3 linked regions of the Yarrowia lipolytica genome follow. The protein of the gene in region 1 binds, or shares a complex with, the protein of each later gene. Links are inferred from orthologs where the notes say so. Each region holds a gene or a part of one and is shown on either strand. Other genes may lie near its edges.

Region 1 (5,767 bases):
TTTCGAGAGCACAAAACGCCGCGGCCTGGCCGTAAACACACCCAGAAATGGCTATGTCAATCGACACAAGGTGACCCCAACACCAAAGAGACGTGGTGGGTGGAACGAATGACCGTATGAATGGAACGACCATATGAATGGAATGAACAGCTGATTCACTCTCGGGTCTTTCGTTTGTGCCACGTCACCGAGATGTCTGCAGACTATGTAGAGACTGACTCCGTCTGAGCCCCACTAACACAACCCAGTACCTTCGATGGTCTGCTCATAACCGACCCCATCTCTTCTTCGCCTTCGCCATTGGAATCGCCGGCCCTGTCGCCGCGCTCACACTGACTCCTCTACGAAGAAAGTACCTTTACCCCGATCACAGCCCCCTTCCCCAATCATATCCTCGTGAGTATTATTAAGAGTTGTTGCGTTGCAATGGACGTCGGTGGTTGACAAAACTGCCAGTCTGTCTGATGGTCTGTGATAGTCTGTGATTGGTCTGTGATGTTTGTGATTGTCTGTGATTTGTCTTGTGATTGTCTGTGGATTGTCTGTGGATTGTCTGTGATTGTCTGTGATTTTCTGTGATTGTTCTGTGATTGGTCTGTCTGGTAACTGGACGAGCTGATCCCAAGCCACCATGACTACCTCAATCAACCGAATCAGACTGCAGTCGACTAGATCAACTGACCAGACTACTGAGCTTCTACGGTCTGAGTCGCAGGCCCTGCGGTCATCGGCTCATACCGTCAGCCTCCACTGCACCCCATTTTTACTATACTAACCGAGTCCCCCAGCGTGCTCGAGAGCAGCTCACTGGCTTCGATGACGAGTAAATAGCATGAATTCATTAGACTTATAAGTTGCACAGACCGAGGGACGGCACTTGGAGGAAGATGGTCGGTACAATTGGACTGTAGCCCAACCTGCCGCAACACTTCATGATGGAGTACCAACGACCACCCGACAAGTTGGAGTCGTTCGGAAGGTGTATCTTGGAACAGTACATATATACTCGTACTTCTAGATGTTAATAGTCAGAACTCCAGATCACACTGTTCCATTCATATAAATGTCCTGACAAGTAGGTGCAAGTGCAGACGTATGACCAACACCTCTTCTCCGAGATTATGTTCGACAGATGATTAGTGTATTCTACTGTCTAAGCACAGCCCTTCGTCATTTACATATCAACTGGTACATACAGTACTCGTTCCTCTGAGCTCTTAGATCATCTTCACCTGTTTCATGGAAGCGATCTCGTCACCTGATATGTTCCAGCTGCTACCCCGTTGCTGCTACTTCTGTTACTCATTCTTCGGTGGCTTACTCGTTAAGAACTAACAACTCGTTTCGCACGCTATTCGCTCATCGGTTACTCATTTTGTTCATTTCGTTCGAGCAACGCGCTATGCTCGTCACTCGCCCTAGCTATATACATTACCATCGGTAGTCAGACTTGAGGTACCCATCTCCCACCTTTCGGGTCTCGTGCTGGAACACGGGCTTCTTGGCCAGGCGCTTGTACTCCTTGTCACGGGCCTCTCGCTGCTGGGTCACGGGGGTTCGCAGAATAGCCCGGATGTGGATGTACTCGGCGTGTTTCATGCCGGCTCGTCCTCGGCCCTTCGGGTCCACGAACCGGAACTTTCGGGGGTCCGAGCCGACCCAGATCTCGTCAATGTACAGAGTCTCGGGGTCAATGTTCATGTCCTTGGCGGCGCTGACTCCTCGCTGGAGCAGCTCAGCAACGGGTCGGCCCATTCGCTTGGCAGAAAACTGGCACTGAGTGATGGCCTCACGCACGTTCATCTTACGCAGCATTCGCAGCAGCAGCTGGGCCTTCTTCCAGGTGCCGTCGATTCGGTACGACTTGCAGTAGACAGAGGGCTCGAACGCCTTGATCTCGTTGGGCGACAGCACCATCTGGTACTCCCGGCCGTCGACAGACACCTTTTTGGTCTTGTCGTAGCCCTTGTGCTGGCTCTGGTAGGCGTCCCACAGCCGCTGCTTGAGGGCGGTGCCGTACTTTGCAATACCCACCTCCGCCTCGCCCTTTTGCTCGGCAATGTACTCCTGCAGCTTGGTGTCGTTTTTGAACGATGGCAGCTTGCCCTTGGTCTCGTCGGCGTTCTGCTCGACCTCCTTGGATCTCTTGTTTGCCGTCGCCTTGTCCAGATCCTGCTTGATGGACTCCTTGTTTTCTGTCATGCTGCCGAACCAGTCGTTGGATCGCGCGGCGGTAGAGTGGAACGGCCGCAGGGCAACCAGCCGGGAGGCCGGCGCCACGCTTTTGCCAAACATCTTCTTCCACAGCATGGTTGTGTGTGCTGTTATACGGTCAGTGAGGGCTCGTATGGTGATGCGTCAACTGGAGATAGATTTTTCAGGGTACGGGTTAACAGAGAGTCAACCTAAACGGGAGAAACTGCAACAACCGTGAGACAAGAGTATACTGTCGGAGCCGAATCGGAGTTAGGAGCGATATAAGTGGTTGTAGGAAGGAATCTTGTCCTCGTTTACACATAAGTCGGTCGAACAACACCAATAATCACCTCATTCTTCAATCCCCATCCTTTCTTCAACCCATGCAGTAGTCTGGAGAGTGGTGTCGGGTCCCGTGGGTTCGATTCCAGGTTGTGTTCATTCTTGTATGCACTTTTAGAATTGTTAATATGTTGATGAAGAGCACGGTTTTTGGTTATCCTGGGGTCTACGTATGTATTAATTCTGTCTTTTGAATATCTCTACTATCATTACTTGTTTCAGTAGACACCTCCTCTCTATATATACTCGGATATATTGACATGATTTAGTATACACAGCCAACAGAGTGGTTATTATTGGTACTGGATTAGTAAGCAATGTAAGATCACGTGAGAAGACACAACCGAAACAGCTGTCTCAGATTCTTCGCTCTTGACACTTGTATCTCTCTCATGGTGTCTGGAAGCCCGCAACCGAGACATATAGCATGGTCTTTTTTAGTTGACTTTTAGTTGAAAGAAGAAGTTGTGATGGGTTTCTGTCTGGTGCTCCAGTTGCTTTCGTAGAGAAAAAAGCGTATAAAACTGTAGAGCAGTGTCACACAGTCTCCGATATATACTATTGACATGATATTTCTGTTACAAACTCGCCCATTCGACACAGTTATGTGATTTCAAGCTGATACTTTACTTGAATGTTTAGTTGACAAGTGTGTCTGGCGTGGGTCCGAATACAACGACTACAGTGCTCTTTGAGATTTGCAGTGTCCACTCTCTCTACCCTCTCATGTCATAATCATTAAATATGTAAATGCAGTGTATCACGATTTTCTATCCTCACGGTCACGCCATGTCTCTCAGTTCCACCTCGCCCGAACGCAACAGTCGATGGCCCTCATCGCTGTCGTCTTCTTCTCCCATCACTTCCACGTCCACGGGCTTCACGTACTTCCTCTTGACCAGAGGACGACATCCCTTGTATTTCACCTGCTGGTAGAGCAGAACGAGATCCCAGAAAAAGCGGAACCAGCATGCCCAAAAGAGACCCGAGGGACGCACGGCCCGCACGACTTTGTTTCGGTTTCTCTCCTTGGTGGGCTTGGCCTTTTTGGCGCCCAGAACGTCGAGAATCCCGAAAAACGCGCCCGCCAGATCCAGCACAATGAGCAAAAACGACGAGCCCACACAGCTCTGCACCGTCCAGTTGCACGACACCTGCGGCACGTAACGGGCGTAGACGCTGAAGTCTCCGATGATTCCAAGCCAGTCCACCACGTCAATGAACTTGATACCCAGATAGCCGACTCCAGGAGGCGAGGGCACCTTTGCAAAGGGATGGGACTTGACCGCCATCAGCAGGAACACAAGCACGCCGAAAAAAAGACCCATAATCACCTTGCATTCCAGAGACCACGACTGCGCATTGGTCTGGGTGTGTCTGTATGAATACCACGCCTGCACAGCACACACGCCCCACACCAATGACTCGTTCAAGTCAATTAGGGCAATCACCCCGGACGCGCTGGGCATATCAAACGCTAACGGGTATCTCTGCACAAACTGCCGATGGACCAGATCGCTGTTGATGTATGTGAGGGTGAAGACGAAATGACACACCGCCCCCACGAACGCCCAGAGTCCGTAGTCGAGCGAAAAGCCAGCCACCGACGACCGTTTGTTGTTGAGAACGGCCTGCGGATACGGCGTAAGCAGCCGCAACGCCTGGTGCAAATATATCCATCCCGTCATAGCTGGGTCGATATGCCGTAATTATATATGAGATGAGGTATATATTGAGACCGCGTATGCATGCTTGGTGCAGTATGCATAAACCTTAATATGATACATTATATAGCGGGGTGAGTTGGATATTGAGGTTGGCTGATATTGAGGTTTTGTCGATTGGGGAAAGGAGATTGGCGAATTTGGTAGACAGAAGAGATATTGTGATACATGTTCACACACTCTGCGGTTCATCCAGTACTTTGTAAGCGTAATATAGATTCGACTGTAACTTGCCCATTATTCTCACAGGCGACTAAAGAATAAAAGAAATGGATTCCTCAGATACAGAGGATCATTTTGGTACCAGGAACGGGTGGTTTAGATGGCGTTCATGTGCTGTTATGTGTTACTTTGACTTGTTATGTTGATGTTCTACTTAGAGAGAGTGGGAGTGCGGCAAGTGCGTCGCGGCAAGGGGTGTGTTTCCCCTGTTTTTTTTTTCCCCCTCTTTTTTCTTCTTCTTTCTACTCATCGCTTTACCACCCTCCTTTGGCGCATCTAACACTCCAACCATAGTCCTTCGACTCAATCGCCCAATTTGATCTCTTCACTTGTCACCAACCTCTCCTGTGCAGTTGTCATGTGCTCCACCACAACTCCTCTTCCTGGCGACATGACAAATGGGGCTACTCACGATCATCAAGAAACAAAAGCTCAAGGATAAGGAGATCCGTGTGCTCATGCTGTGAGTGAGAGGAAGCGACGTGTCTGGGTGTGAGAGGGAACAGTACTAACACAGTGGTCTGGACAACTCGGGCAAGACGACGATAGTCAAGAAGATTCTCAACGAGGACGTGAACGAGGTGTCTCCGACGCTGGGCTTCAACATCCGCACGGTGACAAGGGGCCAGTACAAGCTCAACATCTGGGACATTGGCGGCCAAAAGACTCTGCGACCTTTCTGGAGAAACTACTTTGAGAAGACGGACTTCATGATCTGGGTGGTAGACGCCAGTGCCACCGACCGACTCCACGATTGCCGCAAAGAGCTGCAAGCGATTCTCAACGAGGACCGACTGGTTGGAGCCGGAGTGCTCATCTGGATCAACAAGCTGGATCTGGTGGACCCAGATCAGCGGGACAAGACCGTTGAACGCATCAGCGGCCATCTGGACCTCGACCAGATCCCCGAGGGCCACAACACCACCATAATGGGCTGCAGTGCGTACACGGGGTACAATTTGGACGCAGGCATGGATCTGGTGGTGAAAGAGGTGTCTGAACGGTTGTTTTTGTTTGATTAGGAACGAGGAGCGAGGAGCGAGGAGCGTCTACAGTCAAGACTGGACTAGGAGAAAGTCGAAAACGTCGAAAAGTTGCATCTAAACGACGAAAAGAGGGTCTTTAAGTCATCAGTGCACGGCAGAAGAACCAAAGTGCTTGAACTGGAGGAGAATGTGGGTTGAATGGAGTGTGTACTACCTACAGTACTTACAATACTTGGTAACTGAGTTGTATACCCAGCTGTCAGGAATATGAAACCAGGTGGTTTTCGAACCCGATAA
Region 2 (6,105 bases), on another chromosome or scaffold:
CGTGTCTGACACCGAGCGAATCATGTCCGACAAACTGGCCCGACAGCTGGACGGCTCTGAGTGGTCTTGGAACAATCTCAACACCCTCTGTTGGGCCATTGGTTCCATTTCGGGTGCCATGAACGAGGAGCTGGAGAAGCGGTTCCTCGTGTCCGTGGTCAAGAAGCTGCTGTCGCTGACGGACCAGATGCGTGGCAAGGACAACAAGGCTGTGGTCGCCTCAGACATCATGTACATTGTCGGCCAGTACCCCCGATTCCTCAAGGCGCACTGGAAGTTCCTCAAAACGGTCGTCAAGAAGCTGTTTGAGTTCATGAAGGAGACCCACGAGGGTGTCCAGGATATGGCCTGTGACACCTTTATCAAGATTGCGCAAAAGTGCAAGCGGCACTTTGTGGCCCAGCAGCCCAACGAGACAGAGCCTTTCATCGATGAGATCGTTCGAGATCTGGGCGAGATCACCGAGGCGCTGCAGCCCTCGCAGGTCCACACGTTCTACGAGGCCTGTGGCCATATCATTTCCGCCCAGAACGCCCGAGCCATTCGAGAACGGCTGCTTTCTGAGCTCATGCGACTCCCCAATCAGGCCTGGGAGCAGCTCATGAACCAGGCTCGAAACGACCCTGACATTCTGTCCAACCCTGAGCCCGTCAAGACTTTCTCCAACGTGATGAAAACCAATGTGGCCACCTGCACCGCTCTCGGCGCCGGCTTCCAGCCCCAGCTGAAGCTCATCTACATGGACATGCTGCACCTGTACCGGGCCGTGTCCAGCACCATTTCCGAGGCAGTGGCTTCGCAGGGCCAGATTGCTACCCGAACCCCCAAGGTTCGAGGTCTGCGAACCATCAAGAAGGAGTCGCTGAAGCTGATCCAGACCTACGTCTCCACCGCCGACAACCTCGAGGATGTGTCGCAGAACCTGGCGCCTCCTCTCTTCCAGGCCGTCCTGGAGGACTACAGCTCCAACGTGCCTGACGCTCGAGACGCCGAGGTGCTCAACTGCATGAACACGGTCGTGACCCGCGTGGGCGGCCAGATTCCCGACGGAGTTGTCATGATTCTGCAGAATGTGTTTGAGTGCACTCTCAACATGATCAACACCAACTTCACCGACTACCCCGAGCACCGAGTTGGCTTTTTTGAGCTGCTGCGAGCCATCAACCTGTACTCGTTTGCTGCCATTGTTACTCTTCCCGACGAGGGCTTTTCTCTCGTGGTGGACGCGTGTCTGTGGGCTTCCAAACACGATCACCGAGAGGTGGAGTCTGCAGGTCTGGCTCTGACATACGAGCTGCTGCAAAACGTGTCCGAGAAGGCCACACCTGAGTTTGCCGCAAAGTTCTACCAGAACTACTTTTTCAACATTCTGCAGGGTATGTTCCATGTGCTCACAGACACGGACCACAAGGCCGGCTTCAAGCAGCAGTGCCAGGTGCTGGCCAAGCAGATTGATCTGGTCGAGTCCAACGCCATCTCGGTGCCTCTGTACCAGCCCGGCCAGGTGCCCGATGGCACGTCCAACTCTGTCTATCTGCGGCAGTACATGGGCCACATGCTGCTGGAGGCCTTCCCTCATCTGACCGAGGGCCAGGTGTCCAACTTCATTGAGGGTCTGTTTGCATTACACAAGGACTTCCCCCGGTTCAAGCTCAATCTGCGAGACTTCCTGGTGCAGATCAAGGAGTATGGCGGAGGCAACACGGAGCATTTGTACGCCGAGGACAAGGAGCGGGATCGGGTCGAGGCCGAGCGACAGAACAAGGAGAAGGCTCTCAAGATTGGCGGTTTGGTCAAGCCCGCCGATATGGACGAGGATTTGTAGATCATGAGCGGAGCCAAAGATCCGAGCAAAATTGTAAGTGAGACCATCCATATCATTCAGTAAATATATTGTTGAAAATATCTGTGTACCATCGTACGATACTAGTACGAGTATTTGTGCCCGTATACTTGTACTTGTAATAGTATCTTGTATGTACAACTACTTGTAGCAACGATTCGCCTGGAGAGGGCTGTTGTCCACGACCTTATGCGGTTCTACAAGCCATCTATCTACCCCGTCGATTCTCTGTTATCCGCTTCCGCGGTTATTGCACTATGCGATCTATATACATTTATTCAGGGACCAGAGGACCGAGTCTGGACTTGACATCATGGGCGGCCACGCCGTACATGTTTCGGGCGTCGCTGAGCTTGACAATCTTGCCCTTGGAGCCGGGGACCATGCCCTTGACAATGACAATTCCGGTGTCCTCGTCAACGGATAGCACCTTTTGGTTCTTGAGGGTGACGGTCTCGTTACCCATGTTTCCGGCCATTTTTCGTCCGGGGAACACTCGTCCAGGATCGGTGTTTTGACCGGTAGTTCCTCCGGATCGATGCTTGAGCGAAACACCATGGGAAGCGGGCAGACCGGAGAAGCCGTGTCGCTTCATGACTCCGGAGAATCCCTTACCCTTGGAGGTGGCCTGGACATCGACGTACTGGCCGACCTTGAAGTGCGAGGCAGTGATCTCGGTGGTGATGGGAAGAAGGCCGTCCTTGCCGCGGATTCGAAACTCGGCAACCGCCTGCTTGGGGTTGACGGTGGCGGCCGAAAACTGGCCGAGTTTGCTCTTGTTCATCTTCTGCAGCGCCTTGTTTCTGTGTCCCATTCCGACCTGGACGGCGTTGTATCCGTGCTTCTCCTCGGTCTTGTGGCCCACCACCTGGCACAGATCAATCTCCAGCACCGTGGCGGGCATGTGCACGCCGTTCTCGTCGTACCACGAGATCATGCCTCGCTTGAACGCCAGAGCTCCGGTTCGAGACACCAGCTGCTTTCGGGCGTAGGCGGCCGCAGGCGAGTTGTTTCGAGCGGGAGCCTCGGCGGCGGGGACGTTGGCGTTGGGCGAGATGAGCTGGGCCACGCCGCGGCTGAACACGCGCACGGGAGTGGCCTCTGCCATGAGACGGAGTCGAGGCAACATTTTTGTGTGTGTGATCAGATCTGGGTGGTGGTTCTGCAATGTCAAAATCTTGGGAAATTTCACGGTAGGGTAACTTTGAAGCTAGGTGGGAGGACCAACCTGCGTTTACTTAGGAACCGAGGGGGGGTAATGACAACGGCTGAGAAAGAGCTGAAATACCATGGTGGACTCTGCAAGTTGATTGCCGGTGTCATTTTTTTCAATCCCACACTTTTTGGTGCTGGTTTGAAGTCATCTGTTTCCTCGATACAATTGTAGCTATTTCTCAAGTAACGCTGAGTCTGTTTGTTAAGTAAGTTAATCTGAGGTGAAAGTAATCTTAAGCGGACAGTATGACCATCGATAGGGGTCTTTTTCCCCCCAATTGCCCATAAACCAACCCACATCTACAGTGCAAATCTCTCTGTTAGTTCTTTCCGGTGCAACTTGCTCCCAAACACCTGCTACTGGTGGTCTTTGGAGAGCTCCTTCTACCCACACCCATACAAACTATAAAAGCAAATATACCGTACGTCTTACAATATCAGAGCAGTCCACCACACACCTCGCACACACTCACACAATGCTTCGACTACTGCGTCCCCAACGAGCTCTGCCTTCGTTGCTGCGACCTCTCTCGGTCGCCCGACCCCTGTCCACAACCAGCCGTCTGTGGCTCCACCAGCAGTCGACCGACGCCAAGAAGGACGACGAAAAGCTGCTGCCCGAAGACCGAAACCTGCGACGTTACGAGGGCCACACCTTTGAGCCGTTCACGCCCGAAAAGGTGCCCAATGCACCTGTCACCGTGGACACGGAGCTGCCTAACATTACCAGCCACAAGATGCGCCGATGGGCCGGATTTGGTCTGTTTGTGGTCATCATGACCGTGTCTCTGGCCTTCTCCTTCAACTACGAGAAGATGTCGTCTTCGCAGGTCTCATCTTGCATGTACACGCTCCGAAAGTCGCCCCTGGCCAACGAGGAGCTGGGCTCGGGTATCCGATTCGCCAGTGCCTACACCTGGGTGTCGGGAACCATTCGTCCTCTTGTTGGAAAGGTGGACTTCTCCTTCCCCGTCAAGGGAAACAAGGCCGAGGCCATCATGCATTTCAACTCGCGACGAGCCTCCGGCCGAGAAAAGTTCCGAGTGCTCGAGTGGTCTCTGACCTTCCCAGACGGACGAGTCGTCAACCTGGCCGACTCACTCATTGATCCCCTCATCATTGATGAGGAGGAACATCTTGTTAACTAGACCTTGTCATGTTGACGAATCCTAGAATGCGACGCTACTGTCGACATTCAGCTTATGTACATAGAATGACTAGCCTGCTTGAGTTGTAGACGTGAATGTAGCGGCCTATGGATCCATTTTGGGATAATATCAATAATGAGAGTCTCTAGAGCGAGCCGTTTGTTGGATATGATATATACATTAGCCTGTAGTACGAGAACTGCTTCGGTATCTTATCGGACTGTCAGACTCAGATACTCATTCAGACGAGTTGGTATCCTTGTCATCGCCTCTTGTCGGGGTATCGTTCGAGATATGTCATGCGAGGGTATAGCCAAAGCGGCGTGCGCTACTGTACAAGTACAGGTTCTGTTTCTACAGGTTTGTTGGTTGCGCGATTCATGCTAACCTCAACAGAAGCCACATGCTACTGGTGTCGTGTCAAATCTTTTCATAACCAATCTATTTACATTTATTTCACCTTGGTGGCCTTTCGGGTGATGGTCTCGTCGTCGAGGTAGATTCCCTTGCCCTTGTAAGGCTCCGGGGGTCGCTTGAGTCGAATGGAAGCTCCAAACAGCTTGACCTGCTGTTTGTCAGCGCCCTTGATGAGAATTCGAGTGGGGATGGGTGTAGTCACCTCGATGCCAGCAGGAATGACAAAGTTGATGGGGTGGGAGAAACCGCATCGAACGGAGACAATGGGAGCGCCGGTGTGGGCGTCCTTCTCGACTCCAGCTCGGTATCCAGTTCCCACCAAGGTCAGAAGAGCGACATGGCCATCAGTCACACCAGTCACATGGTTGTTGATGAGGCCTCGCATGGTGCCCCACATGGCTCGCTGCGTCTTGTTGGTGGCGTCGTTAACCGACACAGACAGCACAGAGCCGGAGCTCATGGTGTCCTGGGACGATGCAATGTTGACAAAAGTCGGCTTGGACATCTGGACTCGTCCCAGAGGACCCTCAACCACCACCTCAGTGGGCGAGATCTGCAGCGTCACCGACTCGGGAACGAGAATGGGCTGCTTTCCAATGTAGCTCAGCACTCGCGCCGACGTGGAAAAGGCACGGGTTCGCAGCATTTTTGTGTGTGAGATGATCTGGATGATTGGCGATGGATCAAGAGGTGTAGTTTTTTCACGCTGCGGTTCGATTCCCGCAGGTGCTAACTTGAACTTTATATGCACTATGTAATTGACCAGAAACAGCCTACCAATAAGTAATGATGCAATAAGAGAATATTAGGAAAATAGAATCCCTCAATAGACCATTTGGAAGGGTTCATCAAGTTATTTGCCGCCCAAATCTCAGGTAAAGTCGATCAAATAAGACTGTATATTATCCCCAACTAATTCCAACTAACAAAAGCAACTTTAGTGAACTCTAGTTGAGAAGAAACAAGAAACAGAAGAAAGAAAGAAAAAATACTGTAACAACAATCATAAGCTGCAAATGCTCATGAAAGCCTTAACCGTAGGCGTATTAGTAGTTGCTGGTTCTATCTTCGATCGCTCATCTACCCAAAATGTATTGTCATATCGATACCGATACTGTCTATTGTATATCAACGTTAGCCATGCCACAGGTTAGCACGAGTCAGAACAGTTCTCGTCCCCTTCAAACAGCTGGGAAATGCTCTCCCACGCTCGGGACGGTCTGCTGGACACGGAACCGTCGGTGACACTGGTGGCGGTGGATACGACAGAGTTTCGCAGTCCATCAACACTGGCTCGACGACTCTGGACAGGAGAAACTCTTCGTGAAGACGACGAAGACATGTTGTTGAGGAACTCCGTCTCTCGCACATCGTCGTCGTCGCTGTCCCAGTGGAAACGCACATTGTTGGGTCCATCAAAGTACGACGGATCAGCGTTTCCGGGGATTTTGGTCCCAGGGGAGGTGTTCTGAGACACAGAAC
Region 3 (5,860 bases), on another chromosome or scaffold:
ATATACTCCGGAGGGCCCCGAGTTGTTGTTGGGTTTCACCTTTGCCCGTGGGTCGTGCGTCTGTGGTCGAGGAGCCACCGTGGGCTGTTGTGGCCGGTGACCGAGACCATGTCCTATGCCTGCATTCTTGTGGAAAATGCCCCGGGTGCCTGTACTAGGTGGAGCCAGTCTAGCTACTGTGGCAACGCACACCTCGGCTGAGGTGTCTGGCGAGTCTAGAGACACATCTCCGTCTTCCTCGGCGTCCTCGAAGCGGTCCAGGTCTGAGTCTCGAAGTGTAGATGTGGAGGAGGAGTTCTGTAAACTCTTGTTATGCTGTGTAGTTGGTGCAGCCCGTTGTTGGGCATGTGTTGTTGTCGTGGTCTGATGATGTGTGTTGAAAGGGACAGGGCTTCCAGAAGGCTGTCTGGGCTGGTTCAGCTTCTTCTCTGGAGTCGACGTGCCCCCGGCGGCATGCAAAACGTCTTCGGGGATGCAATAGCTCTCGCTGGCGACGGTGTTGAGCGTGGAGGACGAGTAGTTTGGCACCGCTCTCATGAAAGCTCTTCGGCGCTGTTCCGACATGACAAAGGACTCATCACGGGTCATTTCGTAGTGCGACGTGTCGTCGGCGCCAATAACGAGGGCGGCTCCCACGGTTTGGGCCATTGGTCGTGATGGCATCTTGGTTGGGGTTTACGTCTCGTCTCTTCAATCTGCTTGTGATGATTGACACTCTCACTGTTTTGGATTCAGAGCGCGAAACGCGCCTTTAGGTTTCAAATGCGATGAACAGAGTTGGTTCCCCTACCTTGAATCGCTGGGTGTTAAAACCAAGTCGTATAAACCACCCTGGCAGGTGTTGAGAGAAGAATAGGTGAGACTCGTATGTAGTATGGGAGAGAGAGCTCAAGAGGCATTATATCATATAGCAGGTCTGGCACTTGACCTGCAGCATCGCATCCTGCAGGAATCCATCACCTGGGTCTTAGATTATTATTCTCCTTCCCATGCAATGTTGTGGTTGTATTTTGAAATGTTATTCTGAGACTTCTGTCATACCCTTTTGAGAAGTCGGGGTTGGGGTAGCCCAGAACTTGCCCAGAACCTGAATAGCCATTTGGGTCACGCGCCAAGTGCAGCAGTCATGCACTAACGTTTAGTTCCTAAAATTTCAAGTGCGTTTTTCAGGCGCAAAAAATAAACTGACCAAGCTCTATAATGCAGCGACTATTGAAAAAGGCACTGAAAAACAGCGCAGCGGGCGAGGCTGGAGCACCACTGGAGCGCACCGACACCCGCTCCTCGCACGAAACGCTCTTTGACGACAACAAGTCCGCGGTCTCCACGCTGTTTGAAACCCCTGAAGGCGACCCGCGAGAACGGGATGTCTACAGCATATACTCGGCCATGTTTCGACATGGAGTGACCGTTTTTGACGATGGCCTCAAAAAACCCATTCTGTCTGTGTCCACGCATTTCTTCGGCAAGACCTACATGGAGATTTACCGGCTGGACGATAAGCAGAGCCCAGGTAGCGAGGCTGTGTCAATGTCTGGAACCGAGTGCTACAAGTCGCTTCTGTGCAGTGTGACACAAAAGGTACTTGACAACGACCGTATCGAGTACATTCTCACCTTTGTGGACAGCGAGCGGGACAACATCACCATGGTTACCCATGGAACCAGGCGGGTGACTACAGCTTCTTACGAAGGCGTGCAGTTGCAATGGTACGGAACGACGGGCATTGCCAACACTTATGGCTCTGGATTCTTTCATCTGCGGCTTGTTGACACCGAACATACTGAGAGACAGGGTAATGTGCTGCCAGACTCAGACACCCTCTGTGGTCCTTGCATAGGAGCCTACAGTTATCTGACTGAGGGCAGACTGAAGAAGCAGCGCCGGGTTGGCGAGTTTAGCATTTTCAATGGTGGCACTCATCTTTCCGAGGTCATCCTACTCATGGGACTGGTTCTGCGAGAGGGAGAGATGCGAAAGATAACGGAAAGTACACGAGCTGCCAATGCTGTCACCAGCAAGGTGTTTTTGTAAACTGAGTGATGAAAACGGCATGGTTGAAACAATAGTTTGGTAGCTACCGTGATGAGCTCCGTCTCTTGCGACAACCAGGATAGCAGCTTGGGCGGGAAAAAGAAGAAGAATGTGGATTGTGGTGGCTTTGAGTGCCTTCCGCCGATAATGTGAAACGAATTTTTATTATTAATGAGTAAGACAGACAGACTAATATATCTGAATACTATGGTTGGTTGCCTAGGGTTGTGTGGATGGTCGTTCCCGTTCAGCTCATGGCCGAATCAGGTATACTCGCTTACATAATCATTTTGGGTTGCATACAGGCATCTCGGTGAAGCATGATTTTCGACTTTACACTCGACCGTCACAATGAACTCCTTTGCCCCGGAATGCACTAAAGCCAAGAAGGAGTACGACAACTGCTTCAACAACTGGTACTCGGAGAAGTTCCTCAAGGGAGAGTCCATGGAGAACGAGTGTGCCGATCTGTGGCACGAGTACGAGGATTGCGTCAAGGTGAGTAGGGAGAGGGAGAGGGCAGCCTGGAGATGAATTAGGATCGATTCAGGAGATCGGTACCCGGCGTACCACTCACAGTATTTACTAACCCAGGCCGCTCTTGCCAAGAAGGGTGTTGGAAAGATGATTGACGAGGCTCGAAAGCAGGCTCCGTTTGAGAACGGCGGCAAGCTCGTGGAGGAGGATGAAAAGAAGAAGTAAATGTATATATTAATTGAACGATTCTGCTGGCCAAGATGTGAAAAAACGAGTTTCTCACTTGTATCAAGTCTGTGTTAGTCAGGCTTTTCTCTGTAAGTGTGCAAGGGTGTCTGTGAGTTACGGGTGAATTTTTTTAAAATCTAGTAAAAGGATGAAGTTCGACAGATTTTATAGGGAAATCTAAACACTTTCTAACGATTTATAAAAAGTCCTCTCGCCGCAAGAAGTCATCGGCCACCTTCCAGTACCCCAAACACACCTGTGTAAGTCACTGCAAGAAAACCTCGCCACGTGACAAACAAGGTTTTGCAAAATCGTCGGTTGGAATATCAGACTCTATCACCACACATACACGACCATACAAAAATGCTGTCTCTGATTCAGTCGCTACGGCCGACTGTGGCCATGAACAACGTGGCGCAGATGTTTGTGCGAAACACTTGCAAGTCCGCCCATGTCAAGACCAAAAAGGCCGTTGCCAACCGAATCAAGATCTGTGGTAGTGGAAAGATCACCAGAGTGAGTGCCACAAGGATGGAGAGGAGGGGAAATAAGGAAAAAGGAATGCTGGGAGCGACTCCGATCAAGCCATGATAGAGTGGATAGCTGATATTTCAGTGCCGGAAAAGTTTTGCCTCTGATCTGATCATGGCCTTATGTTACACAGCTTTCAAGCTGAGATGATTAACTGTTTCAGCAGCTAGAAGAGATACCAGACACGGAACTACCTGTCACAACCAGGCTGATTACGCACACTGCGTTTTTTTTGTTTTTTTTGTTGCTTACCAGGCACTCAGATCAAGCAAGACACTCATAACCTCTTGTAGCTGAACACATCAACAATGACAACTTCCAGATCGCCACTAACTCAGGGAAAAACCGGACGAAAGCACGGAAACACTGGATGGTCCGCTGCTCTGCTGCGAAAGAAGACCGGTATGACCGAGCTCACCGGTTTCCAGAAGAAGCATGTCAAGAAGTACGTGCCTTTCAAACAATCCCCTTAATGTATATAGCAATTAGAACCCTCTTGGATGCACGAGAAGTCTGTACAGTACAGACGGATACAAGTTCGTAGTGCACGTACCGAGCTGTTTAAATTAATTGATGTATTTTTCTGTATAAGATGTAATCATTGCATACTCTGCAAATAATAAATAGGGCGCGCGGGGTTTAGATCACGGTTTTGATGGGACAGCTAGGCCGTGGGTAGGTACAGCACTTGTACTCAGGCCGTGGTGGAGACGCGGTACTGCGAAAGTACCAGCGATATGAATGTCGTAAGTATCATACTACAATTGTAGCAGAGGGGGGTTACTGGCCAAGCAACAACCAACCAATAAAATAGACACCATAACCCATCATTTCAACAGCATCCACAGGGTTAAGGCTGGACAGACCAGAGTCCCACTCAATGGCAGACTCACGAGGAGCATACTCTTGTCGATCTGAAGAGGGCTCGTTGGCCAAAAGACCGACATTTTTTTCAGGCACAAAAGGCTTGAGCTCCTCGCCAGTCAACCAATAATGGAGTCGATCTCCAAATGCTGAGGCGTTGGACTCGCGGTTGCACTGTTCAATCACGCTTGTCACTAATTGTTGTTTGTCGGCGTCACAGATATCGAGCATTTGTGTTTCTTGAGAGTGTTTTCTGATTACAGCGGACCCAGGGGCGCTTTTTTGATTATATATAGCCTTACAGCCTTTCAGAGACTTTCGTCGCCATGCAACAAAGACAGGACCAGTAAGGTTGTTGAGTGCACGTGACCTCGGGTCCACGAACGTCATGGGGCAAAACAAGACTATTGCAACATAATTATAAGGGGTAGATGCAGCTTGCGAGTTCCCCTCCTGCTTGCTACGTGCCAGTGCAACCTCTGGCGTGTTATTCTTCCACATTTGCTCTTTGTGGCGACCAGTAGCGTGTAATAAACATTCTGGGGTAACTGTAAGCGCTGATATGGAAATGTACGATACGATAGGGTATGTAGGGTCCATGTAGGGTCTTACAGATAGCTTCAACAAGTACTCGTACCAGGCGCGATACTGCAATAACAGTGGATATTTCTCAACAAATCTACTGTAGGTGACACACACACTCACGTCTGCGTCTCCACATGACAAGCATCACTGTTAATCTATGTTCCACTTGATTATGGCTTTTGCCACCAGGTCTTGTTGGGTCATGTCTTGTGTACTTTTAGCTCTCCATATAATAAATATATTGGGGTAATCCTCAAGGTGGAGAATGTGGGGTGCCTGAATACATGGAGTGAAAAGTCGTGTGACCAGTTGTCGTTGGCAAGATGATAAGATCGGTGATGAGTCCGAGCACTTAATTGCGCGGTAGTGTATTGTTCTACAAGTAGCACAACATGTCATACTACGATTACTACAGCCTCACTCCACACTACATAACGTACAGTACTGTACTTGTACCCGTGCCATAGACTACAAACAATAACACCTCTGTAACTAAACATGCAATCTATACATTTTTGGGTCTCTATTTACTCTTGCTTTTCAGCCTCGTTCACCTGCTCCTCGACATTTTCATCGCTCTCCTTGACTCGCTTACCGTCCTTATAACTGTATCCAACCCACTCATTGCCCTCCTTTTTGATCTCCGCCGTGGGGAAGTAGTGGTAGTTCATCTTCATGGAACACGCAAACGCCACGTTGTCAAACGTGACAATACGCAACTTGACGTAGGTATTGTCAGGGATCTTGGTCACCACAGACAGGAACGTCTCCAGATCAGGAGTGGCGGTGCCGTTCACGTGAGTGATGAAGTTGGTGGGCGCAATCAAGTACTGGTAAGCGGGAGATCCCTGGGCTCGACTGGACACGTAGACGCCCGAGTGGATCTTTTTGATTTGCTGACGAACAGCATGGTGGGGGGTCTGCAGAACAGCTCCGCACCAGAAGACGGCCTGAGAGGTCTCGAAAGCCGAATCCGTGGTGGGAGCCTGGATCTCCTCCTCCTTTTTGTTTCGCACCAGCTTGATGGTCACCTGCTCCTTGTCGCCGGCCTCGCTGAGCGTTGTCAGGGTCGTCAGCAGCTTGCCGTTGATGGACAGCAGAATGTCTCCCTCTTTGAGCGCCTGGGAGTTGCCATTGATGG

Evidence for each region.
Region 2: YALI1_E28130g (region 1) and YALI1_F13602g share a complex: the UniProt entries of both Saccharomyces cerevisiae proteins name them as parts of the mitochondrial large ribosomal subunit. The link is inferred for Yarrowia lipolytica from reciprocal best matches to the Saccharomyces cerevisiae genes MRPL22 and MRPL9.
Region 3: YALI1_E28130g (region 1) and YALI1_F39183g share a complex: the UniProt entries of both Saccharomyces cerevisiae proteins name them as parts of the mitochondrial large ribosomal subunit. The link is inferred for Yarrowia lipolytica from reciprocal best matches to the Saccharomyces cerevisiae genes MRPL22 and MRP35.

Annotation. Positions count from the first base shown.
Region 1 is NC_090774.1:2,810,757-2,816,523, forward strand, and holds YALI1_E28130g (mitochondrial 54S ribosomal protein uL22m), read right to left. Parts: upstream 2,311-5,767; coding exon 1,432-2,310; downstream 1-1,431. Other genes in the region: YALI1_E28107g (uncharacterized protein), read left to right, coding at 249-396, 781-827; YALI1_E28150g (uncharacterized protein), read right to left, coding at 3,321-4,226; YALI1_E28156g (uncharacterized protein), read left to right, coding at 4,883-4,947, 5,002-5,506. UniProt on the Saccharomyces cerevisiae protein: Component of the mitochondrial ribosome (mitoribosome), a dedicated translation machinery responsible for the synthesis of mitochondrial genome-encoded proteins, including at least some of the essential transmembrane subunits of the mitochondrial respiratory chain.
Region 2 is NC_090775.1:1,357,139-1,363,243, reverse strand, and holds YALI1_F13602g (mitochondrial 54S ribosomal protein uL3m), read right to left. Parts: upstream 2,973-6,105; coding exon 2,118-2,972; downstream 1-2,117. Other genes in the region: YALI1_F13644g (uncharacterized protein), read left to right, coding at 1-1,825; YALI1_F13597g (uncharacterized protein), read left to right, coding at 3,535-4,206; YALI1_F13579g (mitochondrial 54S ribosomal protein uL6m), read right to left, coding at 4,658-5,269; YALI1_F13550g (uncharacterized protein), read right to left, coding at 5,774-6,105. UniProt on the Saccharomyces cerevisiae protein: Component of the mitochondrial ribosome (mitoribosome), a dedicated translation machinery responsible for the synthesis of mitochondrial genome-encoded proteins, including at least some of the essential transmembrane subunits of the mitochondrial respiratory chain.
Region 3 is NC_090775.1:3,915,249-3,921,108, forward strand, and holds YALI1_F39183g (uncharacterized protein), read left to right. Parts: upstream 1-3,102; coding exon 3,103-3,255; intron 3,256-3,608; coding exon 3,609-3,743; downstream 3,744-5,860. Other genes in the region: YALI1_F39159g (uncharacterized protein), read right to left, coding at 1-663; YALI1_F39164g (uncharacterized protein), read left to right, coding at 1,201-2,034; YALI1_F39176g (uncharacterized protein), read left to right, coding at 2,386-2,532, 2,629-2,736; YALI1_F39199g (uncharacterized protein), read right to left, coding at 4,051-4,734; YALI1_F39236g (uncharacterized protein), read right to left, coding at 5,247-5,860. UniProt on the Saccharomyces cerevisiae protein: Component of the mitochondrial ribosome (mitoribosome), a dedicated translation machinery responsible for the synthesis of mitochondrial genome-encoded proteins, including at least some of the essential transmembrane subunits of the mitochondrial respiratory chain.